4 linked regions of the Saccharomyces cerevisiae S288C genome follow. The protein of the gene in region 1 purifies or fractionates together with the protein of each later gene. This does not show direct contact. Each region holds a gene or a part of one and is shown in the gene's direction. Other genes may lie near its edges. The genes, in order: SRP54, SRP68, SRP14 and SRP72.

Region 1 (7,452 bases):
AATTGTTATCATCATTTGTTGATGCCCTATCATCTGAATCATTCCCATCTTGTTGACCCTCCTCTTCTTCATGATTTTCTTGACCCTGGCTTTTTCGATGAAGTTCTTTCTTTTGTTGTTCCTTTAATTGTTTTCTGTTCTTTTCCTTCAATAAAAGCTTGGCCTGCTTTCTCTTTTTAAAAAAGTTCCAGTCTCTTTTGTATAAAGTTTGTTTAACGTCCTGGATTGTTGTGTATGCTAGTAAAGTTGAATCTATCAAAGAAATCAACCTGCAATGAATGGAAGATGTCAGTTCTATGATAATAGAGTGGATGGTGTTAATCAGCTCTTGTAACACGCTTGGATGCCTCTTGAAAAATGAATCATCTCTACAGAGGTAGTAATAGAGAAAAGATAAACAACTTAACCAATACGATTGCAATACAATGTCACCTGCTTGCAAAGAAGCTTCTGTGGAGACCAATCCTGCAGCTCCGTTGGATGAAACACTGGTCAGAATTTTTGTTAGAGATAAGTTAATTAACGATTCTACTAGTGGCTTGGACTTTATCTTATGATCAGCATATCTAATACATTGGTATATTAAACCAGCTGGATAGGTGGTCATGTGAGGTTCCTTTTGTGGTAGCGATATCAATAGATTCAGGATTTGTGGTATATCAAAGTCGGAAAATTCCAAGTATTGGTCCGGAGATAGTTTATCATAATCAAATGTACCGTGGTAGTCTTCTGTATATGTGGGATCTATTAGGGTTGCAGCTCCCTGAGAATGATTCATGTTCTTTTCATCAGAATCCAGAAACATGTTGTCATTTGCACCAGGGGACAGGGTCAAACCGGCGACTTGTAAGTCAATATTATCAAAAGTTTCTTTCGTGGTAGAGTCTTCATTACTCATTAGAAGAGAGGTGTCTTTCGGTTGGGAAATTTGAGGTATTTCATGTTTTACTTCGGTACGGTATCGAAACATATTGTTTTGTTCCAAAAATTCCGAAAGTGGTGAATATGGAGGAACCATATCCCAAGCGGTTAATCCAGCCTTATTCGTCATGTTGAAGTTTATCTCGTCGAATGCGTTGAACAGCTCCAAGCAACAGTTCCTTCTCTGCAGACTGAAACTCCACATCAAAGGTGTGTAACCTACAATGTCGTCGACAAGATTCAAATCTAATTTTGCACCAGAAGGATTATCATGTAGTAACTCAATGTAGTCTGCACGATCAAATACAATGATATAATGAATCAAGGCAACGCCTGTGACGGATTTATCATTAACGTTTTTGACTTCCCTTAATAACTCCTTGAATGTAGTAAATTCTTCTTCACGGTCTTCGTCGCAGATCAATTTGACTAGTTGTACCCAGGAATCGCATTCTGGTCTATCTTCTTGGTCAAGTTTAAACAAAGTTGATTTTACCAGCGCGAGTTTCTCCTGAGCGTGAGAGGAGCCTACTGGTTTGTCCACCGTTCTGTCCTCTATTCTAGCATCATCCCAAACACTGTTCATTGTTCACGAATGCCTTGTGAGTTCTGTAGACCGGCAATTGCGGCTCTCCTATACTTCAGTCACTACCCATATTGTTATAGTATGATGGTCTTTTCGTTCATCTCAATATCGAAAAATCACCGCTAACGATAAAGACATCAACAAAGTGAAAAAAAATAGTGGTAAAACAAGATAATGAAAAGTGGTTGAACAGCAAGGATGCAGAAGAGAAGGGAAAGAAAACACAGCATCGAGTCTAACTAAAGGATGGTTTTGGCTGATTTGGGGAAGCGGATTAATTCTGCTGTGAATAACGCGATTTCCAATACACAGGATGACTTTACTACATCCGTAGATGTAATGTTAAAGGGCATCGTGACTGCGTTGTTAGAATCGGATGTGAATATTGCCCTGGTTTCTAAGTTACGAAATAATATAAGGTCACAGCTGCTGAGTGAGAACCGTAGTGAGAAGTCCACAACAAACGCACAAACTAAGAAGCTTATTCAGAAAACGGTGTTTGATGAACTGTGTAAGTTGGTCACCTGCGAAGGTAGTGAAGAGAAGGCCTTTGTGCCCAAGAAGAGAAAGACAAACATCATCATGTTTGTTGGGCTGCAAGGTTCAGGTAAAACTACTTCCTGTACCAAGTTAGCAGTTTACTACTCGAAGAGAGGTTTCAAAGTGGGTTTGGTATGTGCGGATACTTTCCGTGCTGGTGCATTTGACCAATTGAAACAAAACGCTATAAGAGCAAGAATTCCATTTTATGGGTCATATACGGAGACTGACCCTGCCAAAGTTGCAGAAGAAGGTATTAACAAGTTTAAGAAAGAGAAGTTTGATATCATCATCGTTGATACTTCAGGTAGGCATCATCAAGAAGAAGAGTTGTTCCAAGAAATGATTGAAATATCCAATGTCATCAAGCCTAATCAAACTATCATGGTTTTAGATGCTTCCATTGGTCAAGCTGCAGAGCAACAATCCAAGGCTTTCAAAGAATCGTCCGATTTTGGTGCCATTATATTAACCAAGATGGACGGCCACGCTAGAGGGGGTGGGGCAATTTCGGCCGTTGCAGCCACAAACACTCCGATTATCTTTATTGGTACAGGTGAGCACATTCATGATTTGGAAAAGTTCTCGCCTAAGTCATTCATATCTAAACTGTTGGGTATTGGTGATATAGAGAGTCTCTTTGAGCAATTACAAACCGTTTCCAACAAGGAAGATGCAAAAGCCACAATGGAAAACATCCAAAAGGGTAAGTTCACCTTGCTAGATTTCAAGAAACAGATGCAAACAATAATGAAAATGGGTCCATTATCAAATATAGCGCAGATGATTCCTGGTATGAGTAATATGATGAATCAAGTAGGGGAGGAGGAAACCTCTCAAAAGATGAAGAAAATGGTTTACGTTTTGGATTCTATGACTAAAGAAGAACTAGAATCTGATGGTAGAATGTTCATTGAAGAGCCTACAAGAATGGTTCGTGTAGCTAAAGGTTCAGGTACTTCTGTGTTCGAGGTAGAAATGATATTGATGCAACAGCAGATGATGGCAAGAATGGCACAAACCGCAACCCAGCAACAACCAGGAGCCCCTGGTGCCAATGCTAGGATGCCTGGCATGCCAAACATGCCGGGTATGCCAAACATGCCTGGTATGCCGAATATGCCTGGTATGCCAAAAGTGACTCCACAAATGATGCAGCAGGCACAACAAAAGCTGAAGCAAAATCCAGGTCTAATGCAAAATATGATGAACATGTTTGGTGGCGGAATGGGCGGAGGAATGGGCGGAGGAATGCCTGATATGAACGAAATGATGAAAATGATGCAAGATCCACAAATGCAACAAATGGCAAAACAATTCGGTATGGGCTAAAGGCCACCATTTGAATATACACAGTATATATATATATGTATGTATGCATATTTCAAATAACTTGTTTAGCTTTCATCCTTTCGAATACCTCCTTCAATAAAAAAAAAAAGAAAAATCTTGTTAAATTATAAAGTGTTCATTCTATTTTTTTGAATTGTAAAATAACAAAATAAATATTCGATTGAACTGCCATGGAAAAGGTTCTACCCTCTAACACGAGTACCCGTGCTTCTTGTTCCTATAATTTACTGTTTTATCACTTCATTATTTCTTTTCAACGCCCGGTAAGTTATCCAAAGACACTACACCATTAGCAATAAGCTGCGGATCCACAAGCTTGTCTCTATGCTCATAAAGTATCTTGTAACCAGATTTGATGGTACCTTCAGTAACTTGCAAGGTTTGGCCCACTTTCGCTGCGGTAATAGGGATCTGAAAGAGCAGGATGTTTAGATAGATGGAAACAACAGCGATAGTAATAGGGGATTTACCTGCAATTTCTTTGATCTCTTTACATTTCTTTGCGGTATATTCAGCAGAAGTAGTGACTTGCATCGGTAAGCCCAGATGCGAACAAAACCTGGGTATATAAGTTAGGTTTTGTGCACCACTCATATTATCGGTATCAATCTTCAAGAAACCATCTTCGCTCTTGCCTCTTAAAATGTTCTTCATTATGTTTAAAGTTTTACCAAACTCTTTAGTTTTGACATGGATTAATGACTGGATTTCTTTAAAAGTCCTTGCCACTTCAGCACGTCTGCAACCAATCAGTATGGATGCAGCCATTATACTCTCCATTGATTTCCCCTTCAAAGTTTTTTCATCGTGGCAAAGTTTATATGCTTCCTTGGCACAATCTTTCACAATCTTCGGTAATTCAGCAGCATCACATAGCATGGTAATCTTAGCAAATGCAGCTTGTACTTCATTATCCTTTTTATCCATCACATTTTTTCCTTGTGCCTTATTCAGTTCTTTGGTGAATCTCATATCCGTGGTTTCACCCTTTCCGATCCTTGTAGATAGGTTATTCCCATCTAAAAGAGGATTTGAAGCCTCACCAACACGACTTGGGTCATCACCGTTGTGATCATCATTTGAAAACGTTCTCCACTCCGACCTGGTGTCAACCAGTTTATCTGATAGTACTAGACCACATAGAGCACATACAACATCCCCTTCACTAAATCTTTCAACGATTTTTGGTGGGTAGACTTTGCACTCCGGACACGTCAGCACAATATTCAGATTAGGACCCCTTCTTCCTGCTCTTTTATCTATGCTCTCCCTAGTCATCATTCTGCGTATCTACTTCTCCCCTTCTCTATCACTGGATCGTCCACACCAGCGTCTATTAAGTTGTCTTTATAAGTGATGATTATTCTCTTCACTTTTTTTTAACTAAATTTATAACAAAATTTTTCGATTTTTAAGCAAATATTGAGACGAAACGGTGATGAGTAAGACAGAAATACAGAGATACTAAGCTATAAACTACTATTTAAGCACGTGCATAAATTGGGTGTGATGTGCAGTCAAGGCGAGCGTCGATTACAATGGGCGTAGAACACATGAGAGGCTTTAGTAATGAGATAATCCTGAAGAGAACGTTGACTTTATCCGATTTCACCTTACGTTACCATAAAAGGGGCATCACAGCTTTGCAGGTCATCAAAGCACCGTCAGTTTCGAATGTGCCAGTCTTGTTATCCGGTGATAACTACGGTTATTTCGTTATGTGGGACCTGGTGACCAAGAGACCGATTACACATATAGAAATCGAGGGCAACTCGCACATTATAGCGTTTTGGTGGGTGGAAACTACCAATGTGCTGTACATTCTTTCGAAAGACTCCATGCTGCGAATTTTTGAGCTTGATTCATCTACACAACTATCTATAGATTTAGTTAGAAAGCTTAGCCAAGCCAATAAAACGGATCATTTACAATGGACTAAAATCTATGAAATGCCCATAAACACACTGAATTTTGCGAATTTCATCATCGAAGCTGAAGTGAAACCAACCAAAGATAATAAAAGTTATAGATTGGTTTGCTGTCATACTGATGATTCGGAAACTATCGATATATATCAGATAATAGAAGACTCCACATTTAAATTGAAAAGACCATTCAATAATATTAATTTCCCCAGATTCTTGAAGCAGCAGAATTTTTTAGGAATTTCGAAAGACTCCAAATTCGGTATCATAATGAGATTTGCTAAATTAAACGATGTCATATTTTTAGGTTATGAAAATGGGTTTGTAGTCGGATTTAAAATTACTTTTGATGAAGGCCTTCAAAGGGACATTGCAGAACTGGTCCATGTTTCTAACGATCATTATCCGAATCCAATACTTGATATGTGTGTTAGCGGGGATGAACTTTATAGTTGTTCAACAGACGATTTCATAACCAAGTACAAAATTCCAGTGAACTTACAACTTGAGACGAAATACCTTAGAGATGATGCGCTTTTGATAAAATGCCCAAGCTCACTGAGAGTCAGTGAGCCATCAAAAGTACATCTTCCCTTGAAGAATATTGGTCATATTGATAAAGTAAAAGACGATTACTTAGTCGTGAGTAGTTGGTCAGGTATGACCATTGTTTATAATATGCGGACTTCAGAAGTGGAGCAAACTTTTGTGAAATCAAAGAACAACCTGGTCGTGAGTGATAGCTCTATGGGAGACCTAACAAACGGTAGCGGCTCAAATACCGAATCCAGCTCGAAATCCCATAACTATAAAGTGGGAGCCATGACATGTTTGGAATCGTTTGATGTGCAGTCAGATGGGTTGAGGTTAGGACAACTTAGACGTATTAAAGCGCTGGCGAAATGTAACTGGTGTTTAATTGGATATGAAGATGGTACCATAAAGCTCAATAAAATATAATTATTTTTTTTCCTTTTCTGTTTACATGGTTTCAGAAAGAACATTTGTATATATACATACGTGCCTATATATACATATTTCCTCAATCCAAGTAAAAAAAAGTGCGATGTATCATGGTCATAAGAATGTTAAAGGGAGTTCTTCCCTCTATCAATTATTTTATAATTTTCTTCAACATATTTTTGTTTAAGCCGGCATTGTTGTTTTTCTTCTTGTCATTCATTAAATGAGAGTTGTAAATTGAACTTGAATTACCACTACTACTACTTCCATTGGAATTAGAAACCAGTAGCTTCATCTTTTCTGATATTTCCTTTATTAGTAAGCTAACCGCCACATCGACATTTAAATCATCCATGCTGTCTATTCCAACAAATCCATATTTCCATTTTGTTGCTAGTTGTCTTCCCATTTCAATCAACATTGGGCTTGCGAGTTCATGATTAACGTGAGAACAGACGATAATGCATGGTGGTGGTGAATCGGGAGATGAGGGGTCTAACTCGATGGATTTTAGTTTGGTATTATAGGATCTCAATTGCTCTATTTTGGCGCTTTTCTCTTTGCTATTTTTACTCCATAGATGTCTCAGGCTGTAAACCAATGAGTAAATATCATCCTCTTTGCCTTCCTCCCATCTTTTTTCATAATTTCGAAATTCAGTCCAAGCATCTAGTATGCAGTTTCTAATCACTTTTAAAAGTTCAAATCCACCATCGCTGACGTTTTCCGTATCTGTGTTCATCACATCATCTCCATATTCCGGAGGGCCTCCAATATGGTTTAATTCAGGGACTGCGCTATACACCAAGATATAACCGTCAACTTTACCATTCAACTCAGAGGCACCAGAGGCAACCAATAGTGAAGTAGTAGATACAGGTCGTCTTGGTTCATCTGCTAGTCCATGTAGGATTGATTTTCCTAAATTTCGGAAGAGAGAAACTTCTAAGAACGGCACCACATTATCAGGACTGAAGCCAGGCGTATCAATAATATCAATCTGGATTGGTGCATAAGTGGGTGGAATGTAATTCAGGGGCAATTTAAAATGCTCGATAACGTTAAGCTGGTCTGCCTTGATTTTAGGAACACTTTGAGAGTTAATGTCATTGGAAAAAGTTTGATACAGCGGAGAATCAGATTTATCCAAAGATAGGGATCTCC
Region 2 (8,442 bases), 620 kb from region 1:
CGGAGTTGTCATTGTGGAGAGGCAATGGTGTTTCTGTGGACATTAACGGTTCGTAATCTTTAGTTCTGTCGATATCCTCATCTCTGTAATACTTAATTCCCCAAGGTATTAATCGAATTAAACCGTCTAAACTTTTTTCGATTTTGGTGATGATCCATCCTGGTGGAGTGATCTTGTTAAACCACGATTCCTTGTAGCCTATGGCGTAACCGACACATAAGCCGAAAAAATGACCCCAGAAACTGGAGCCAGGTATAACGACGGCAATTGCGACTAATAGTACTAGGGGTGTATATAATGTCGGAATTGAGTAGTCTGTGCGAAAGATCCTTGTTCTAGGGCGGATCTGTGATTCTTTAAAACTATAGTATGCGAATAAGGTGAAACACCACCCACTGGCGCCTGCAACTAATGCTTCTGGATATAGCAACTTACCCAACAAACAGTACAGAATTCCGGCAAATAGAGCACTCAGGTTCAAAAAAACACCTGTGTACACAGTCCCATGCGTTTCTTCGAAGAGATTCAAGGGTGCCCAGATGGCTAGCACATTGAACAGTAAATGAGGCAATGATAGGTGAATTAAAGGATAAAGCGATAGCCTGCTCATTTGCAGTTTGAACAATGACTCTGGCGCCAACGACAGGTCTTCCCTTAGGGCAAAAATAAAACTTAACAGGTAAATAGCGGTTAGAAATACCACAAGGCCTGTGGTCAACGCAGCTGGTGGATGACCACCGGGAAAAACGTACGACTTCCAATTCATAGCACGACCAAATAGCACAACCTAACAACCAGAGTGAATTGCTGTTCTCAGTGCTTCCAATTAAGCCTTTCCCATCCCCCTATTCTTCTTGTATCGATGCAGTTCAAAAAAAAAAAAAAAAAGAGGCTTTAGATCTCAAAGGGCCGAAAAAAGTGAAAAATTTTCTCGAGAAATCATAAAAGCAGCCATCGCCATATATAAACAATCTATGCATATGTATGCAGCATGGCATCGCATCTTTCTTGGCGACCCGGTAGTAGCATTTAACTTCCATTAGAACCATATAAAATGCATGGGCCTACTTCAAAAGCTATTTCCCGCAATGTGAGAAGCGTGAAGAGACCAAGAAGAGCACCTAGGCCCGTGGTCTCCACGCAGGCTATGAACAAGTTGTCTAACGTAACACTCTCTGCTGAACAAGAAAAGTTGAGAGAGCGCGTTTTGTCGTTCATGCGTTCCAACTTATCTCAGTACAAGTCTGACTGGAAACATCCGGCCATGTTTGTAATCCAAGGGGACGCAGGTACAGGCAAGTCTGTGATTCTAAACTCCTTGTTCAATGAAATTCAGAAACTATCCCAGTTCTCACCTTCTTCTGAAGATATCTTACATGGGACACATAATTATCTGGTAGTCAACCATCCCGAGATGTTAAAGTTATATATCCGGATTAGTGACAGTTTCAAATATATTTCTAAATCGTCACTAGAACGGCCCACTTCGTTGATCAACAATCTACAGAAGAGAAAAGTCATGGCCGATGTAGTCATTGTAGATGAAGCACATTTGTTGGCCACTTCTAAGGATGCTTTCAAAAGATTTTATGGCGAAAACCATCTCAAAGACTTAATGTCCCTTTGTAAAGTGCTTGTATTGGTTTACGATGATAAGCAAGCTTTAAGAATGGGTTCCTATTGGGATGAAGGTTCTAATAACGGTGCCACTTTAAAGGACTTTTACAACGAGATTCCACCAAAATCCAGAGACTGGTACACTTTAAAACAGCAGTTTAGGGTTGCTGCCCCACAAAACGTGTTGAACTGGATTGACCAAATTAGTGTCGCAGGTAAAATCCCACCAATTGAATCTGTGCTATCTAAGGGCAATGCAGATTGTGCTGACGATAAAATTAAGAATTTTGATTTCAAAATTTGGGATGATTGTGGCGCCATGTACGAGGCAATCAAGGAGAAAGACCGTCAATACGGCCAATGTAGGATGCTATCTACTTACGATTTTCCCTATCGCTTGGACGGAAAAGACTATTACGTTGAATGTGGTGACAATTTCAAAGTTCGCTGGGATCGCTATACTCCACGTGAAGTGACGCCTTGGAGTGAGCGTTGCGACACGATTGATGAGGTAGGTAGTGTGTATACTATCCAAGGGTTTGATCTGAATTATGCTGGTGTAATTTTGGGCCGTTCCATTGGGTATGATGCGGCTAATGACTGCATCAAACTAAGACCAGAGCTGTATGACGATAGGGCCGGTTTCACCAAAAAGAAAAACATTCACAATGCAGAGGACGTTAAGCAAAAGATTATTATGAATAGCATTAATGTCCTCTTAACTCGTGGCGTGCGTGGTCTGTATGTTTATGCATACGATCCTGAATTAAGAGAGAGACTGCTTCGTCCATCAAAAAAATAGGAAGTACATAGTATAGACAAATTTTATAAATATTAACTTTTATTTGTTGCGATCTTCACTAATCTACGCAGATTTTGCCTTCGGTATATTAGCCTTCTTCTTGTTGAGTGCTTCCCAAGTGATTCCACCAAATACTATAAACATCCCCACCCATTGCTGGAAACGTACACTCTTACCGAAGACAATAATACTCAAAATCATCGAGACCATTTTCCTGGTGACTGTTATCATGATCAAAACTAAAGAGCCAAATTGTTCTAGAGTATAGAAAATAAAGCATTGTCCCATAGCGCCACAGAACGAATAAAGCATTAAATAGCCCCACACTTGTGGGTCCATCGTCAATACAGAAACGGCATTATCCCATTGTTTGCAGTCGATCACAATAAAATACAAAATATTCCACAATATCACGAAGAGGTTCAGTGTAAACATCAAGTGTGCACCTGTTATCAAAGTTTGTTTTCCCTTTTCTTTGGCCTTATTGGCCTTTAGTAGCTTATCTTGGGTGGCGTTGGTCAATCCATCAAGGAATAAACTAGAGAAAAGTAGTCCAAACCCTTGTAATTTGTTATCATTTCCGCTCTCATTAAAGGATCTCTTCAACTTTTTACCATCGTTGCCACCTATAGTGAAAATAGTGACACCGAGACTTACCAAGAGAGCTACAACTTTTTTTTGGCTTGCTATGGGCGTCCTATACAAAAGCAAATGCACCAACAACACGGGGATCATCTTGCATGACTTTGCTAACATGTAAGTGAGATAATCCACGTGCTTTAAAGAAGTTGTAGCCAGCGGGCCTGAACTACTCTGTGTAAATGATATCAACATCAATTGTTTCCAATGATCTTTAATCATTTTTCTGGGCGGATATTCCACCTTCTTCCAGTTTAAGTACAGGTAGCCCATCATCATTGCCACAGAAGCTTGTATGAGGGATATTACATTAGGGAATTGAAACTTTCCCATGGAGTTTGGCCAGGTTCTTGTAGCCAAAGGCTCCTGTACTAATGCCCACGTCAAAAAAGTAGCATATATACCAATCGCACAGATCACCAAACTGGATGTACTTCCCGCCATACAAATATACGAATACTGCCTTGTTTACTTCTTCTTGTTACGTTGTAATTCTGGTTCTAATTACATTGCTGTCATTTTTTCATGTTCGATGGGATCTACAAAACAACCTTTAGAAGCGATCTCAGGGAAGCTTTGGAAGAGAAACAGCTGATGATTCTGGCATTCCACAAACTACAACAACGAACCAAACGACATATTCCATTGCAGTGATTTGATTGGGAGTAAGCTTTTATAAACGAGCAGACCAATATGATTTACGTAGTATTTCGTTGTCTTTACCACATCGTTGTTCGTGATAAGTTCTGAAAATTTTTTTTGGAGTATATTTGCTAGAGTTAATCCAACAATATTAGCATAAACGAGCAGCTGGAGACTAGGTTATTTGAATTATTTGAGCATCAAAGTGATCAATTGTATTATATTACAGTGTAATTTTCTTTTTTTCCATATTGAATCAAAAACTAGCCACGCTTGAAACTAAAGATGGTTGCCTATTCTCCAATCATTGCCACCTATGGTAATCGTGCAGAACAGTTTTTAGAAACAGACTCAGACTTCGCTAAGTATCATGCGAAATTGAATAAAAAGTTGCAACACTTGAGGAGCCGTTGCCATTTGGTCACCAAGGATACAAAGAAATACTCAAGTAAAAATAAGTATGGCGAAATTAACTCCGAGGATTATGATAATAAAACTAAATTGATTGGTGTTTTGATTTTACTACACGCTGAAAGGGACTTGGCACTGGCTGAAACTTTGAAATTGAGAGCTCGTCAAAGAGGAAAGTTAAAGAAAAGTGAAGAAAAGGTTTTATCCACAAGATTGAAGAAGGCCTGCAAGACTGCTGATAAATTGGTTAACGTCACTCAAAATGAACAGCAATGGATAACTCGTGCCCAATATTTAGCGTTCGCTAAATTGGTACATTCAGAGTACCTAATTAATGGAAAAAGGTTCAAGAGGAAGGACAATGCCAAAATTTCGAACAACCTAGCCCTCGTTTTCGCCGCATTGGAACACTTGAAGAATCTAAGCTTATTAGCTGAAGAAGTTGTAGATAACATTGTTAATAAATACCAGTACTCTCTCAAGCAGTACGCGGGAAATTTAATTACAACGCCCGAAATAAATAACTTTATCGTGGAAAGAGTTCAATCTGATGAGAACAAGGACGATGAGCTTGTGAAATTGTTATTAGACAATGGATTCAATATGAAAAAAATTACAACCTCAACTGAAGATCAAAAGGTTACCACTAACATAAACTGGAGATCTTTCAACGCCAAGATAATCGATGCTGAAGTTGCTCAATTTTTGGAACAAGGTCTATCTATCCACCCAACTCAGATTACTCAATATACACAGAGGCTATCAAAATTGGAGAAAGCTTTAGACCGTCATGAATTTTTCATCGCAAACCACGACGATCAAGATGACATAGACGAGATGGTTGAAAATAGTTCTGAAAACAATCAGATAATTTTAGCCTACATTAAATATAATATTCTTTTGACCTCTATATCTCGTGAAAGAGATTTGTTTACTCATTTATGGAATCAATGGCTGAAATTAAATACTTCATTACCATCGAAGTTAACCAAATATAAAGAAATGGAACGTATTGTGAAGAATTTGACAAAATATTTATCGGACATAATGGAGCTACCTGGTGTGTATTCAGATGACGAGCTGCTAAGCCAATTAGACTTATGCAAGCTGTATTTCCAGTTATTTCTGAATACGGGCTGCCTGAGTGTTTTATATCAGTCGAAAGGCAGATATATGGAGGCGTTAGCTCTATATGTGGACGCTTACCGAAGATTAGAAAACAAATTATCTGAAATTGAATCTCTAGACGAAATCTTACTTCCAGCAAATCTTTTGTCATTGAATTCTGTCCGAAGCTTACAAAAGAGAATCGAAAACGGTGGTAATAGTGTCATTACTTTGGCGGAATACGAAAAAAGAAATCATGGTGGCAGCTTAGGGAAATATGATTTGACAGTGATTGAAAAATTGGATAGTAAAAAAATACTGCCAACGGACATACAATTGAAAAATTTATTCCCTCTCAAGCCAAAAATGCTGCCCATTCCTAGTAAACCAACACTTTTTGATTTGGCCTTCAACTACATAACATATGATAAGCAAGAGCCCTCAGCTTCTCAAGTGAAAGATTCAGTCACAGAAACCGAGAGCATCTCTCAAACACCAATTTCTAATGAGCAGACGGAAGGAGAGCCTAAAAAGAAGCGTGGTTTCTTGGGCCTATTTGGTCGTTAATATTTTTCTAGTATGACTGTATTTATAGTACTATATAGATTATTCCATTTAAACAAATGATGATTGCCAACTATAGTAGCCAAATAACGAAGTGCATTACTTAACACATCTTATTTTTATCTACTGAAGATATCGCCAAATTACAGCACATGCTAAAAAGAAGATGTTTAGGGTCCTTTACATAACTATACGTTAAATTATTTTTGCTGCTGAAAATAAGGAAAATAAAAACAAAGATAAAAATAGAAAGAATGGGAAAATTTAGTAACAGCTTTTGCCCAATATGCTCAAAACCGAGTTATCTATTACAAAGCGTTCCTTTTATAGAAAAAACTGACAATCAAATGTAGTAATTGGCTATTGTTAACAACAACGTTGGAATGGAATAATTTCCACGTCTCGATTTTTGGTTCAACTTGAGTCTTTATCAAGTCTTTAAATGAGAAAGAATCGACATCATCCGAGTATCGTTTATCGGGCCCTTTTCTTTTGTCAATCATTTGAATACCGAATCTAGAACCATCCGATGTGGAAATTTTGAATATTATATCTGGGAATTTAGGACCGCTCGAACCAAAGACTTTTACAGTCAGTTCAGCTAGTTTTTCACCCCTGATGGTTTTAAGCACTCCTCTTTCATACAACTGCTTTGTGTTCCATTTAAACTTCATTCCCTGCAATTCAGAACGTTCTCTTCCTTGAACTTTTTTTACTGCATTCTTAAAATTTCCAAATTTACTTTTGTGCACCGGCGAAAAATCCTTGGCTTTCTGGAAGTCTTTTATCGTATGATCAACATGTTTTTTAAGCCTTGATAATTCTATATCTAAGCTGTGGTTCATTTCCGAAATTTTTGTGAGTGTTTCCTTTGTGATGTAAATTTCCTGGGTTACATAATCAATGGCATAGTTGGGATTTTTAATAGTGTTCGCAATATCGTTTAAGAAATTTTGTAACTTATTATCAGAAGAGCAAAAAGTCCCCGTACTTTCTAGTTCATGTATTTTTTTCAAAGTAACATTTTTGAGTGTGAAGTATTTCAATGGTTTCAGCTTCTGTATCATTGGATCATCCCTGATTTTAGGATTTTGCTCCAGAAAATTTGCAAAATTTGGTTCATCTTGAGGTAGAATTGTACTAATTGAAAGGTCATACAAATTGGTATCTACATCCTCAATTTGCATCATGTACACAAATGCCCTTTTAACTTGGTCGTAGATTTTTCTCATCTTGTCATCACTAACGAGGAATCGATATGCAGATGCATCCAATTCCAAGGTAACACGTCCTGATCTTGGAAAGGATGAATTGTCCAAGTTCTTTTCCAAAATATCATGCAAAATATCTGCTTCCGGAAATTCATTTAAATACTCTTCAAATTTACCACTGATTTCCAGAACCTTTTCAGTTAACAATTCCAATTTGGGGCTTGGCGATACCATATCCAAATAAATCAATCTATCTCCCTCTTGTTCATACTCTGGATCTACTAACACATTATAAAGGACATCTTTGATATGAGGCTTTATTTCGTTAGCGTACTGGTTCAATGGATCCAAAAAGCCATCAAAATTTTTGATTTCAAAAACAGTCGCCAAGGATTTCATTAGAATGTCAATTTTTTGGTTATTTTTTTGAACGTTGCTGTCTTTGTATCCGTAATATTCCCGGTTGACCAAATATTCAGACACAAAAACGTTCACTAGAATACTTGATATGGCCCTTAAAGAGTCAATCTCCTCAATATTCTTATCTGCCGCGTAGCAGAAGATTTTAGTGCAGAGGTACCTGATTTCAACGGGAATAGTGTGAACCTTTCTGGTATAAATTTCAGCGACCATTTCAATCGCGTGCCATAGGCACCTTAAATTGTCAATGAACTTATTCTTGGTACTCGCATCATCCACAGGCGAACAATGCTGAGGAGAGCTAAAGCCGTGTATTTCTTGATAAATTTTGTATGGATCACTTTCAAAATCCACTACTGGATCTGACAAGTAATCCAAAACTGGGACTATTATAGAGAAGAATTCTGGAGACTCTCTTCTCAAAAAATCTTGAAGAATGGTTTGCCAAAATTGTGATCGGTTGTCAAGAAAGCTTTCAATACTCGGTGCTTCATTAATCGCATTTTGTAACATTTCACAAACAAACCTTGTGAAATAGGATCTCTCTCTGTCGTTCATCCTTTGATTCACTGTTCCAAATGTCATATAAACATTCTTTGCAACAAATTCTGGCTCTTTCAAATACAGCAATTTCCAATAAGAGGGATCAACTTGCAACATATAGAACAGTTTTTCATACTTTTGATATTTAGACTTCGGAATCGTAGAATCGGAAATACCGAGTTCATGATCTTTATCTTTTAATAGTCCAAACTTATCCAATACTCCGTTAATATTTAGTTGTTGTCTTATGCTCTTCAGTAATCGTTCCTTCTTCATATTTTCGGAATCAAGAGAGGCTTGGCAACTCTCCAACTGGTTTTGGACCTCTTCAATGGTTGCTGTTCCATTGAGCAAATGAACGAATTTTTTGACAGCCCAAAGACTTGGATTTGGACAGTCTAGAAGTTCCAAATATGCCGATCTTTGCAGACTTTTCCTAATCCAGCTTTGAATCATAATAACCGACCTTACGTTTCTCTTGTAAAA
Region 3 (6,707 bases), on another chromosome or scaffold:
TGAAATCGATAAAAAGAGATCAGAGCCGGGACCTGCCCAGGAACATATTAGGGCTATTGAAACCAAATTTAGGCTGAAGCATTATCTAACTGGTTGTTACTTATTTTCACATCCTGAAAAGCTACCTGAGTGGGGATTCGGGCAGCAGGAAGTTACGTGTGCATACTTTGCAAGGGAAGACTTAACTTCATGGTATATTGAAGAAAACGAAAACGAAATTTCTTTGCCAAATCCAGAGAAGGTTTCTTATAAGAAAATGAGCTTTTGGCAGAAGTTTGTTGCTATCCACAAGTTCATGTTCTACCTTAACAATTATATGGATACTAGTCATGCCTACTCATCTGAACCAAAGACTTGGCCTCTTATGTTGCGTGGTATTGATTTTTGGAATGAAAATGGCAGAGAGGTGTACTTTTTAGGTAACGCTGTTTTGTGGTGGTCTGTCACAGCATTTATTTGCACGTTCATCATTGGAGTGGCTGTTGAGCTTCTTGCTTGGAAATTAGGTGTGAATATTCTACGGGATAAGCACATCATAAATTTCCACTATCAGGTCTTTCAGTACTTATTAGGCTTTGCCGCCCACTATTTCCCTTACTTCTTTGTGGGGCAAAAGTTATTTTTGTACGATTATTTGCCGGCCTATTATTTTGGTATCCTAGCATTTGGTCATGCTTTAGACCTGATTTCAACCTATATTTCTAACAAAAGAAACAATACTGGATATATAGTGGTGGCTATTTTCATGGTTGTATGTTTCTATTTCTTCAGCGAGCATTCTCCACTTATTTATGCTACTGGATGGTCGAGTAACCTGTGTAAGAGGTCCAAGTGGTTAGGAAGCTGGGACTTTTATTGCAATTCACTATTACTATCCGATAGCCACTATGAATTAAACGCTGAATCATGATCCATCCACCCGTATTCAGATTGGACATTCGTTTAGCAAAAGATTTAAAAACTACATTTGAGCTAAACTGCGGGAAAGATCTACGTACATATGGAAAAGAACCAGATGTATATGAAAAAAGAGTTCATAACCGGTCACAATGCAACACTTTCCTATCTTGTTCTTTCGTTGAATTTCACTAAACAACTAACGAATACCAAAAAAATGATCCGTATTAAGTAATGTATATACATATATATTGTCAAATACAACAAGATATTTAATAAACAAAGAATAGATGAATTAGGATTGAACCGGTAAAAGGAAAGCTGTGAACATGGTATTTCTCTTATCGGGCTTTTCAAGATCACCACTGAGTGGCATTTTAAGCACATGAGGAGATGAACGTAGGCAGATCAAAACATTCAGCCGATGATAAAGACTACAACAGCTATTTGATTGTCTTTGCATAATCGCCCTAAATTGGAGGCTTCTACAAAACAACTAATTACATATTCTTACTTCCTCGCCCGTGCAAAAGGATAATATATCTCTCATTTGAAAAAATAGCCATACTTAACGTTAATGTTTAACTTACGGGTTGGCATACCTCTTCTTTAATACAAATCAAAAAACGTAGCTTTCTTACCACCCTAAAACAATGGCAAATACTGGCTGTTTATCACCAGGTGCATTTTTATCAAAGGTTCCAGAATTTTTCCAGACTGCGAATGAAAAACATATAACTGTGCGTCTAACGGCCAAAAGACTCATAGAACACGATCCTGTGGAAGGGAATCTTGAATTTGATTCTACCAACCATCCTGACTATGATGTATCTAAAAAGGCTTCTGAAATTTCAGTTAGCTCAAGATCTGACAGAGAATACCCACTATTAATCAGAATGTCTTATGGCTCGCATGACAAGAAAACAAAATGCTCAACAGTGGTAAAAGCAAGTGAGTTAGATCAATTTTGGCAAGAGTATTCATCTGTATTTAAGGGGGGCATGCAGAATTTGATCAAGAAGAAGAAAAAGAAGAGTAAGAACGGTACCATCAGTAAGACAGGAAAGAAAAACAAGGTAGCGAAGAAAAACTGATGCACGTGACACTTGAGTCAAAAGGCATGTGCGCCTCTTGTTATCTTTGGATGTGTAGATTAAAGGATGGCAACGTAGATATAAAAGATTAATTGCATAAAGTTGTGTAGATATAAATTTAACTAAACTTTAGAATAAACGTTTTGAGATGACTATTTTTGAAATTCCTTTCATTCGTCCAGGCGTTCCATTACAATATTTCCTGATGGATATATGCCGCTAACGTCAGATATTTTGGTAGATAAATCAAGCTCTCTTCTTGGTACCGGCGTGATCAATTTGAAGCTATACTGGTGCTGATAATTAGCAGGTTGGTATACGGGTAAAGTATCGTTTTCTGAGTTCAACATGTCATGCAACTGTAATTCTACGAAGGCATATATCTCCTCCGTTGGTAGAGATGCGTCAAACTTTCTCACTAATCTCTGCCCATTTTCTAGTCTGATCGCAACTTTGCTTGCATCTTTATCAGAAGAGGGTTCGGGTTTTAGTTGGCTTTTTCTCCACAATAGCCATTGGTTTTCTATTCTTTGGTGCTCTCTTTCCATTTGTTCTCTTTGGGTCTGTTCCAATCTTTCTGATTCTCTTTGTTGATCACGTCTTAAGGAATCCTGGTATCTTGAATCCTGTTGTTGTCTTATTAATCTCTGCATTTCAATATTTTGTCTTTGCTGACGCAATTGAATTAATCGAGAATAATTCTTGGAGAATATGGCCTCCAAATCTTGGGCTTTGTAGTTAGAAATAGAACCTTCAACTCTTGCTATTAACTCTATTTTTTTCTCAGCCTTTAAAGAAATTATTCCAAGTAGGGGATATTGCCTAATTTTTAATGCATTGGAAACTTGCAACCCCTCGGATGTAGTAACGTCACCATACCATAGTAATACCTGGTACTTCCTTATCATGTTAACAAAGGCTTCTGAGCACAATATTTTATTAACGTAATCCATATGATTATCCAACAATGGGTCATGTAAATAAATGACTCCAAATTTCACTTGTTCGCTACAAGCATCCAATAATTCAGTGTAACTATTTTGCATAATGCTTTTGGAAAATGTTCCATTTTCAGGGTTGTATAAAGAACCAAAACTAAACTGGACCCCACTGCTCTCATTGTTGCTCGTACTGTCAGTATTGCTGCCATCATCATTATTCCCGTTACCTTCAGAACACGTTACAGCTTGAGCTTCGTTTTCTAGATTTTCTAAAAGACGGTGTAATTGGGAACTGTGGTCTAGTAAACGGTTGTGCTTCCTCTGGTAGAATCCGTGAAGTCTTAATAGAGGTTTTAAAAGACGTGAACTTCGGACAATGAAATTCAATAAATAATAAAGAACTATTAGGGGAGCTTGAAATAAAAAATGGAGTATTGATTTTAAGCGTCCATCCCGGCTCTGTGTGGGTTCATTTGTATTGCTGTTTTGATCTTCTGTCCTTCCATTCAAATCAGCAGGTGGTTCTTCTCTAAAAGCACCTGGGATTCGAATAAAGGAATCATCATTATTTCCAAAAGTATGCCTAAATATATCCATGTTTAAAGGGTATGTTTAAATCGCAGTCAAGCCGATTGATGAGGTACAACAAAATTTGGGAGTACGATTGCCCGCTGTTTTTGAACTTACTCTCACTTTTTGCTTCGTATGTAATTAAGCAAGGATGTGTTACAATAAGATTTCGCTTTGTTATTATCGTTTTAAAAGCGGTCGCCGAAGTGTCGAATAAAGGACAATGATAACGTAAAGAGAAAGAAATTGGAAAGAGACTGACCGCTAAGGAGATTGAATACATATATATAATAGTATGTGGTTAACTTGGAGAAGATAAATTGGATTTAAAGTAGTGGATAATTTTTCTTACATTTTCTATTGGTAAACCATAGACAGGGTTGACATCAGTAAGTTTCGATGATCCAATTAGGCGGTCTGGAGTACACTTAATATTATGTGGAGAATCATTAGGAGTGCAACTGTATGAACTTTCCGCAACAGCCAGTCCTAATAGGCAATAATTTGTATGGTAAAAGTCTGAGTGGGCCCCTGGTTTATCTCTCAAACCAGGTTGCTCTTTTTCTTGGCAACAGTACAATATGTAGTCCCGAAGAGCATGTTTGTTGAAGCATTGGCCATATCCAAAAGCTTCAAGAATGGCAGCCGAACCTCCAACCCAAAAACTATAGCAACCGTCAACAAGTTTGTTGCTCCTTCCGCAAAATCCTCGTTCTTCTTGCAATTGACGAGCACTAGACCATTCTAAAAGCTTTTCAACATTTATTTGGTCCATGGACCTTAAAATTGCTAGACTAGCTGTAGCACAGAAAGTATAGCCTCCGTGTGCCTCATCTACGTGAGGACAACTGCCGAATCCACCTTCATAATTTTGACAATTTTTCAAATAGTTTAACACACCTTCTGTAAGCTCTTCTGTAAGAATATTTAATAAGGTTGCTATGCTCAAGGCACAGTATATACCTCTTGTATCCACTTCTCCGACTTCTAAACAGGTCTTGAATCCTCCATTAGGCTCTTTCAACGATATCAGCCATTGGTAAATTCCTTTTCGATCAATTCTGTCCCAGCATCCATCTATGTTATCGCAAAGGGAGAGAGCATTAATTGCAGCATAAGTGCTGGCCAAATGAGATAATTGGCCAGGACCTCCACCAAAGGGTCCTCCTGAAGGACTAATAGTAAAGAGCTTATCTACAATTTTTCTTTTGGTGTCATCTGAAAGCCAGTCTCTGTCCATTACCTTCAATGAGTTAGCAATCCAATATAGCATCCACGGTTGTGAAGCATCTAGTGCTGTCATTTGTGGAGGTAACGATATCTCAAAAGCGACATCCAAGTACATTTTGTGAAACTCTTTCGTGAGAGCAGGTTCTATATTCTTTTCATCATCGTATATCTCTAATACACTTTGTAGTACTTTGTATCGTGCTTCTGTAGTGTCGGTTTCTAGTTCCTTCATCAATGGTTGGATTGCTTTACTTGAATCTACATGCGCTATATCGACGACTCTTTCCATAACTGGTCTCTTTCTTCCTAATAAGGCAGTATTTATAAATTTAGCCCTAGCTATGGACCTTCCTACTCTCTGTCGCATACGCTTTGATTGCCTATAGCTTTACAAGCACTGCAGTTGTTTCTGCATAAGAACGGCGATGATATGGACCCTTGCTTGGTTTATCCTAGCCACTTTCGCGTGTTTCAGTTTCAAGCTTTCCTAATCAGGCAACAGCTTATACGAAAAGATTAATAAGTTACAATGTTAAACAGTTTCGCTTCAAGACCTCTAACGTTAGCCAGAAATAATAAGAATAGGTGGATTAAGTTACAAGTGTTTTTGTCCTCCTACTTAATCAGAACAGAGCACGGGAATAGTGATCTCTTTCAATAGCGAAAGGAGGGAAAAATAGCCCTGCAATATATAAAGGAAGAAGTTAACACCGTATTAAAAGGGGTGAGGCCGTTGGGACAAGTGGTAGTTTCCTTAAAGTCTGGTTTGATTGACAATATTTAGAAGTTAGTGAAACGAACAACCTAAAAAACTTTGTTGTGCAGTAGAGAGCTTTACATTTACCTTCGGCAGTAAAATGGGTTCAAATGATTTGATAAATGAAGCATATGACGACTCGGAAGTAGTTGGTGAGGAAAGAGAATCAAAATCTGCATGGATGAAGAGGTGGTATCAGCTACTTACTTCTCCTTTAGACTTGCAGTTGGTAATAAATGAAAAGTTAGAAATGATCAACTGGGATGCTTATGCTAAAAGTCTAGCTAAGCCATTAGGGAATTTTTTAACAATACTTTTTTTTATCATAAGACTCTTGCAGGACAATTTGATCAAGCCCAACTATTACAAACTAAACGTCAAGTCTGGCGCTTTCGATCTTTCTAAATCCAATAAATTAAAAGAGTTTGATTATCTATGGGAGATATCATCCAGCTTTCAAAACAATAATCAATTTTATGCATTTCAATCTTGGTATTTTGTTACCTTAAGGTTTTTGAATAATCTTTTCAGGTTTACTATTTTCATACTGCTGTCCCTGAACCTGTACGTAAGCTGTAAATTCATGTTTGGATACTTTAAGACTTACAATCTCTTCCATTTGAAAAAAGAGTTCAACTCCCCAAACCTCACTAAACACAACTTGAAGGATCTAAGCAAAGAATACTATGAAGATATTTATAAGCAGTCCTTGTGGTCTATGTTGAAGCATTTTTTCAGAGGATCTCGTGATGACGGTCCTCATGTTAATCAAAATGAAGATGAGATATTTTTTCAGTTAAGAAAATGGATCCCCACTAACTTCATGATTAATCTTTTTGTGTCTTTTTCACCAACGGCAATTGTTTTTTTAAGCTTTTCTGATGTTTCGTTTACTTCAGCAATTGCTATAGTATTCCATCAATATATTCTGGATTATATCATAACTAAGAGATTTCAAAGAAGCGTGGACGACGACTTGATTTTATCAAGTGCAGCTTTGCAAGAATATGAGGACAAGCATATAATGGCACGAATTAACCAATGCAGCAATATAGATACTCTATCATCTGCAATGGGTACTAGATCTAAAACACCGAGAATATTCACCACTCACTCCCTATGTGGCGAAGAAATCAGAGAGGTTTATAATTATGAAAAAAGGGAATTTGAGGCATTACCGAAAATGACAGAAAGTGTGCCAGGATCCCGTGAAACCAG
Region 4 (7,140 bases), 560 kb from region 1:
TTTTTGCGAAGAACAACTTCAGCCATCCGTTGATATTCTTAGTGGATTCACTTAGCCCAAAAAACTTCATGGGCAGATTCCTTGAAATGACAATCTCGGGAGGAATCTTGATGCTGGGATTGTCTATATCTTTTTCACATACGCAAATAATGCCCTTAAGATCGGTATATAAAAACTTGAGTTCCTCTGGCACTATTACACCAAATGACGCACCCCACTGAAGTAGTGCTTTTAACGCATCTGATGACATGATAGTCTTCTCTTGTATCTATAACCTTTGTGCTCCATTTTCCGATACAGCATTGCTTATTGAACAGTAAGTTTAACTTCACGCGTTTTTCCTGTAAAGCGCTTAATTTGTTTACCATTCTATAAAAACCTTGAGCTAAGGCCAACTGATGCAATTGCTCAAGTGAATGCATAAACAAAGCAAGATCATTCTTAGCGCAAAAAAAACTGGGATTTTGAAATACAACAAAAGAAAGAAGTAAAAAGGGAATGCAACGCAATAGTTTAGTAAATATCAAACTAAACGCTAATTCGCCATCGAAAAAGACCACAACAAGACCAAATACGTCCAGGATCAATAAACCATGGAGAATATCCCATTCGCCGCAGCAAAGAAACCCGAATTCAAAAATACCTTCACCTGTAAGAGAAAAATTGAACAGATTACCTGTAAACAATAAGAAGTTTTTGGATATGGAAAGCTCCAAAATTCCATCACCTATAAGGAAAGCGACTTCTTCCAAAATGATACACGAAAATAAGAAGCTACCTAAATTTAAATCCCTATCACTCGATGACTTTGAACTGGGGAAGAAATTAGGAAAGGGTAAATTCGGTAAAGTTTATTGCGTTCGGCACAGGAGTACAGGATATATTTGCGCACTGAAAGTAATGGAGAAGGAAGAAATAATAAAGTATAATTTACAGAAACAATTCAGAAGGGAGGTAGAAATACAAACATCGCTAAATCATCCGAATCTAACTAAATCATACGGCTATTTTCATGATGAAAAAAGAGTGTACCTGCTAATGGAATACTTAGTCAATGGGGAAATGTATAAACTATTGAGGTTACACGGACCCTTCAACGATATTTTAGCATCAGATTATATTTATCAAATTGCCAATGCCCTAGATTATATGCATAAAAAGAATATTATTCATAGAGATATTAAACCTGAAAATATACTAATAGGGTTCAATAATGTCATTAAGTTAACGGACTTCGGATGGAGTATAATAAATCCGCCAGAAAATAGAAGGAAAACTGTCTGTGGGACAATTGACTACCTTTCTCCAGAAATGGTGGAGTCAAGGGAATATGATCACACTATAGATGCATGGGCTCTTGGCGTCCTGGCGTTTGAACTACTGACCGGTGCCCCTCCGTTCGAAGAAGAAATGAAAGATACTACATATAAAAGGATAGCAGCACTGGATATCAAAATGCCCAGTAACATTTCTCAGGATGCGCAAGATTTAATACTTAAACTACTAAAATACGACCCCAAAGATAGAATGCGCCTTGGAGACGTAAAAATGCATCCTTGGATACTAAGAAACAAGCCCTTTTGGGAAAATAAGCGGTTATAGAATTAAAGTATGACAGAATCGTTTGAAGGGCACTATTAATCACTCCCGCACATATCACATAATACTAAGTATCCATTTCTAATATTTCATTACTCTTTTCGGCATCGTATATTGCGATATTTGATTAAATTTTCTTGTTCATTTTTTCCTCTTTTCTTTCGCCTTTGTCGAAAGAAAAGAGGAAAACAAGCTGAAAATTGCTATGCATTAAAGTAGCAGATTTACTTTGTTGAGTTGGTTCTGATCAATAATAAGAGTAATGAAAGAAAGCAAAAAAATGGCTAAAGATAATTTAACTAATTTGCTCTCTCAATTGAACATTCAATTGTCTCAAGACGAGCATTCGCAGGTCGAACAGACTTGCGTGAAACTATTGGATTCTGGATGTGAGAATCCAGCGGATGTATTTAGACGTTGCTTAGTAGCTGTTATCCAACAGGACAAGTATCAAAAGGCTTTACATTATTTAAAAAAATTCAAACATATAGATGACAAGTACGGTCGCAAATTTGCGCTAGAAAAATTGTACATTTTCTATAAATTGAATATGCCAGATGAATTCAACACATTGTACACAGCAATTATCACAGATGATCTCGATACGGTACTAAAAAAGGATATCGAGTCACTTAGAGGTATCCTACATGTGAGAGCTCAATATTGTTATAAAAATGGGCTGTACCAAGAAGCTTTTAAAATATATCAACATTTAGCAAGTCACAATGAGAAGGATCAGGATAGTCAAATTGAACTCTCTTGTAACGAAAGGGTTCCGCTATCCGTTGCGACAGAGTTAATGAACAGATCACCCTTAGTTACTCCTATGGATGAATCTTCCTACGATTTATTATTCAATGAATCATTCATCATGGCATCCGTAGGTAAATATGACAAGGCTATCGAACTATTAGAAAAAGCGCTTCAAGGAGCCACGAATGAAGGCTATCAAAACGATATTAATACTATTAAATTGCAATTATCATTTGTTTTGCAAATGGTGGGGAAAACTGCACAAAGTAAAGAAATCTTAAAGGGCTTATTGCAGGAACTGAAAGCCGATTCTCCATTCTCTTTAATTTGTCAAAATAACCTAAATGCGTTTGTTGATTTCTCTAAATACAATACAAACTTCAATTTACTGTTAAGGGAATTAAACGTAGAAAAACTAAACACTTTTAATTTACAAACCTTCACCCATGAACAATGGTCAAACATTCAACGCAATGTACTTTTCCTGCGTTTGTTCAACAATGTCAAAATTCACTCTCAAGAGTCCCTTTTATCAAGAACGTTCGATAAATACTCTAAGTTAGTTGACAATGTTACTTTGGAAAGCTACAAGACGCAGGCCAAGAAACTTTACCACCACACTACAAAAACCATTTTAAGTGGAACAGATGGAAGTACGATTGGAATATTACTACTGACTATCCAATTGCTAATAATAGAGAAGGAATGGGAAAATGCTATCAGAATAGGAGAATTATTTTTAAATGAAAGCTGGAAATCGTCCTTTGAAAAATTCAACGATTCACAAGCCATCGTGTGTTACATTTTATTTGAATTATACAAGATTAAGGGAAGAAACAACTCCAAAAGTGTTCTGCTTAAAAAATTAGGCTCCGTGAGAGTCCAATTGAGCGGAAAAATCCAAGAAAACATACCATTTTGGAAACACGTCGGGTTTGAATTATTGTCCATGGGTAATGCTAAAGAATCGAAGGCTTTACTCAGAGAGATTTCAAACTTTAGTAAAGGCGATGCAGATGTCCTTGTTGACAGAGTTGTTTCGTCAGATTCTTTGGATATAGCACAAGGTATAGATCTAGTGAGAGATATTGATATTGATAAATTAATTCAACTTGGTGTGAAACCCTTAGAATCGTCAGCAAAGAGAAGTAAAAACACCGCAGTTAGCAAAGTTCAAAAGAGAAAAGTTTTAGAGCTAAAGAAGAAAAGAAAGATTAAACGCCTCGAAAAATTTTTACAAGGTCGCGACACCTCCAAATTACCTGATCCTGAAAGGTGGCTGCCATTAAGAGACAGGTCTACTTATAGGCCAAAGAAAAAACAACAAGGTGCAAAACAAACTCAAGGTGGTGCTATGAACAAAAAATCAGAACAGGCCCTTGACATATCAAAGAAAGGGAAGCCCACTGTTAATAAAAAGCCTAAGAACAAGAAGAAGGGCCGTAAATAGAGCGTATAAAGATTTTTGTCATTAGTAATCCTCAAATGTTGTCAAGTTATGTAATATTGTATATGAAATGGAACTCGACTAATTCAAAAGAAAGGTCATCGAGGGGTTAGGCTCCCCATTTTATCGAACAACTCTTTCCTTTTAAGCGCTAATTATATGATTCTTTATTATACAGAAAAAAATACATTGTGAGAGATAACGCAAGCTGTAAGTGAAATGTACACGGGAATTCATCATCAGTCCTTCCCACTAAGTAAACAAGGTGTCTTCATCTCTCAAATACTCACCAATATCTGCTTGTCTGAAAGCAACTATACCAGTGGGTTGCATGTTTCTTGACTCAGAAGTACTTTTCGCACTGACACCGAACCCTAATGGCACATCATTCATTGCAAACACAATAACACCGGCGTGTTCTGGTATATCATCAGACATTTTACCCACATGTGCCTTTAACACATGATTACCGTATAAGAATGGCATCTCCCCATTAGGTTTAATCCATATCTTATATTTGGCATGCTTAGCCAATACTGTCAAAGAAGTAATATGTAACCTGAATTTTCCAGTTTTCGTGAATTTACCTAAACAAATACCCAGAGACATCAAGTTAGGTCTTGCTACACTAGTAGCCAATTTTGCAACATGATCGGGTACGTAATATACTCTATCCTTTTGTAATCTGAAGACATGAGGAAGTTCTTTATTATCCACTAAAAAAGAAATATTTCTACCAATATAGCCGGCGAGTTTTTCGAAAACAACCTTGGTCTCTTCTTCTGTTAGCTGTCTCATTATTGCACCTAACTATAGTTTCCCTCAATGGTTCTACTACTCGGAAATCTAGAATACGATCCAATCACTAAACCGTCAATTACCTCAATAATACATTGCTTACTTTAGTTCTAAGCTCATCGCATATTTCAAAAATTTTCATTACCGTACAGAGATATATTATTTTGATGCGGGTAACTATTAGCCGCTGAAATAATATTTTCTTTTTTTTTTTTTCTTTTGGCTTTGAAATTTTTCACTTTTAGTCATCGCTATAGTTCGAGAAATTTGAAATACAAGAAGTACTAAAAAAATAATAAAGGACAATAAAGTGCTAGTAAATAACAATTATAAGTGATATCAAGGATGTCTGAAGAGAATTTGAGGCCTGCCTATGACGATCAAGTTAATGAGGATGTCTACAAGAGAGGCGCTCAGAGCAAATTGACCAAAGCTCGTAAGGCAGACTTCGACGATGAAAAGGACAAAAAAAAGGATAATGACAAACACATAGATAAAAGACCAAAAAGCGGTCCTCGTTTGGATGAAAATGGCAATCCACTTCCCAAGGAGCCTCGTCTCCCAAAGAGAAAGGTGGCTGTTATGGTTGGTTACTGTGGTACTGGCTACCATGGTATGCAATATAATCCACCAAATCCAACCATCGAGTCTGCCCTATTCAAAGCATTTGTTGAAGCAGGTGCTATTTCCAAGGACAACTCCAACGATTTGAAAAAGAATGGATTCATGAGAGCTGCAAGAACTGATAAGGGTGTCCATGCTGGAGGTAATTTAATATCATTGAAAATGATTATTGAAGATCCTGATATCAAGCAGAAGATCAACGAAAAGTTACCGGAAGGGATAAGGGTATGGGATATCGAGCGTGTGAACAAGGCGTTTGATTGTAGAAAAATGTGCAGTTCACGTTGGTACGAATACTTATTACCAACTTATTCACTCATTGGCCCCAAACCTGGTTCTATACTTTATAGAGACATCGAAGAAAGTAAAACAGAATTACCTGGTGTATTAGATGAAGATTTGGAATCCAAAGAATTTTGGGAAGAGTTTAAAAAAGATGCGAATGAAAAATTTTCAACAGAAGAAATCGAAGCTATATTAGCATATGTTCCGCCCGCAAGAGATGAATTTGATATAAATGAAGAACTATACCAGAAGGTAAAAAAGTACAAGCAATTAGAAAATGCTCACCGTAGAAGATATCGTATATCCGCGGCAAAACTGGCCAAATTCCGTGCTTCTACAAGTCAATACCTTGGCGCTCATAACTTCCATAATTTTACATTAGGCAAGGACTTCAAAGAACCAAGTGCCATTCGATTTATGAAAGATATAAAAGTATCTGATCCATTTGTTATTGGCGATGCCCAAACAGAATGGATTTCCATCAAGATTCACGGCCAGTCTTTCATGCTACATCAAATTCGTAAGATGGTATCAATGGCAACCTTAATTACCCGTTGTGGTTGCCCCGTCGAACGCATTAGTCAGGCTTACGGACAGCAGAAGATTAATATTCCGAAGGCACCTGCATTAGGATTATTGTTAGAAGCTCCAGTATTTGAAGGTTATAATAAAAGACTAGAACAGTTTGGTTACAAGGCGATCGATTTTTCCAAATATCAAGACGAAGTGGATAAGTTCAAAATGAAGCATATCTACGATAAGATCTACAAGGAAGAGGTGGACGAAAATGTTTTTAATGCGTTCTTTAGTTATATTGATAGTTTCAACAAGGTTACTGGAGCACAGGGAGAAGAAACTGCCGATAAATCGGGACCTGCTGTGCAAAAGAGTATCTTCGAATTCTTGACAGCTAAGGGTATCCCAGGTCTTACTGATGCGCCCGAGAGCAATAAGAAGATTAAGCAAAGAAAAAGAATGGAAGAGGAGGAAGCTGCTAGTAAAAAGGCTGAAATATCCAGCACCACTCAGAGCAACGAACCTGAAGTACAACCGGAAGCGGCAGCTAATTAGGTTGCCCTTTCCTTCTTTCTTACCAACTTTAATTTCTAAGGCATTGACATTGAAATTGACATTGTCCTCTAATGTTTATAGAGCACCATTATTTGTTTTCGTTTTATATATTATTATATAATGGCACAGAATAATTTATAATTCTTTTTTTTTAAGTCATTGAACAGTCGCACTAACCAAAAGATTAAACACCACCAGAGAGTAGTTTTTCCAGCCTGGCAATCTCTTCTAAAGAAGTAGCTTCTGCTAACTGCTTTTTCAATTCATTTCTTCTCTCTACTGTCATCTTACTCACCACCAAATTCATGATCTCCATCGTTTTATCTCTGGATCCATTATCTCTTATTGCAGTATTTACTGGGCCCAACGTATCGCCGTCCGCCTGCCTTGGAAAGCTCATTGCGCTCTTTCTTTCCTCAGCTGTTACGTTTTGAAAGTCTAAAGTCTCTAAATGCGGTACTAATCGAAGTACATGTTCTCTATAATTGGCTAAATGACATACTTGATTCCCTATTAAAGTTAGATTCTTCAACGTCCTGGGCGCTCTACGCAACCTTTGAAGA

Evidence for each region.
Region 2: the proteins of SRP54 (region 1) and SRP68 purify together in Saccharomyces cerevisiae (affinity purification with mass spectrometry; 3 studies listed by BioGRID). This does not show direct contact.
Region 3: the proteins of SRP54 (region 1) and SRP14 purify together in Saccharomyces cerevisiae (affinity purification with mass spectrometry; 4 studies listed by BioGRID). This does not show direct contact.
Region 4: the proteins of SRP54 (region 1) and SRP72 purify together in Saccharomyces cerevisiae (affinity purification with mass spectrometry; 3 studies listed by BioGRID). This does not show direct contact.

The regions. Positions count from the first base shown.
Region 1 is NC_001148.4:707,330-714,781, reverse strand, and holds SRP54 (RNA-binding signal recognition particle subunit SRP54), read left to right. Parts: upstream 1-1,753; coding exon 1,754-3,379; downstream 3,380-7,452. Other genes in the region: YPR089W (uncharacterized protein), read right to left, coding at 1-1,507; transcription factor SUA7, read right to left, coding at 3,644-4,681; ASA1 (Asa1p), read left to right, coding at 4,954-6,285; YPR084W (uncharacterized protein), read right to left, coding at 6,440-7,452.
Region 2 is NC_001148.4:84,532-92,973, forward strand, and holds SRP68 (signal recognition particle subunit SRP68), read left to right. Parts: upstream 1-3,985; coding exon 3,986-5,785; downstream 5,786-8,442. Other genes in the region: putative rhomboid protease RBD2, read right to left, coding at 1-766; YPL245W (uncharacterized protein), read left to right, coding at 1,055-2,419; UDP-galactose transporter HUT1, read right to left, coding at 2,483-3,502; IQG1 (Iqg1p), read right to left, coding at 6,091-8,442. UniProt on the Saccharomyces cerevisiae protein: Component of the signal recognition particle (SRP) complex, a ribonucleoprotein complex that mediates the cotranslational targeting of secretory and membrane proteins to the endoplasmic reticulum (ER).
Region 3 is NC_001136.10:291,231-297,937, forward strand, and holds SRP14 (RNA-binding signal recognition particle subunit SRP14), read left to right. Parts: upstream 1-1,550; coding exon 1,551-1,991; downstream 1,992-6,707. Other genes in the region: putative dolichyl-phosphate-mannose-protein mannosyltransferase PMT5, read left to right, coding at 1-910; clathrin-mediated endocytosis regulator UBX3, read right to left, coding at 2,162-3,529; RAM1 (protein farnesyltransferase), read right to left, coding at 3,804-5,099; NUR1 (Nur1p), read left to right, coding at 5,590-6,707. UniProt on the Saccharomyces cerevisiae protein: Component of the signal recognition particle (SRP) complex, a ribonucleoprotein complex that mediates the cotranslational targeting of secretory and membrane proteins to the endoplasmic reticulum (ER).
Region 4 is NC_001148.4:150,952-158,091, reverse strand, and holds SRP72 (signal recognition particle subunit SRP72), read left to right. Parts: upstream 1-1,879; coding exon 1,880-3,802; downstream 3,803-7,140. Other genes in the region: RKM1 (protein-lysine N-methyltransferase), read right to left, coding at 1-250; IPL1 (aurora kinase), read left to right, coding at 499-1,602; ribosome biosynthesis protein NIP7, read right to left, coding at 4,052-4,597; pseudouridine synthase PUS1, read left to right, coding at 4,943-6,577; U2 snRNP complex subunit LEA1, read right to left, coding at 6,762-7,140.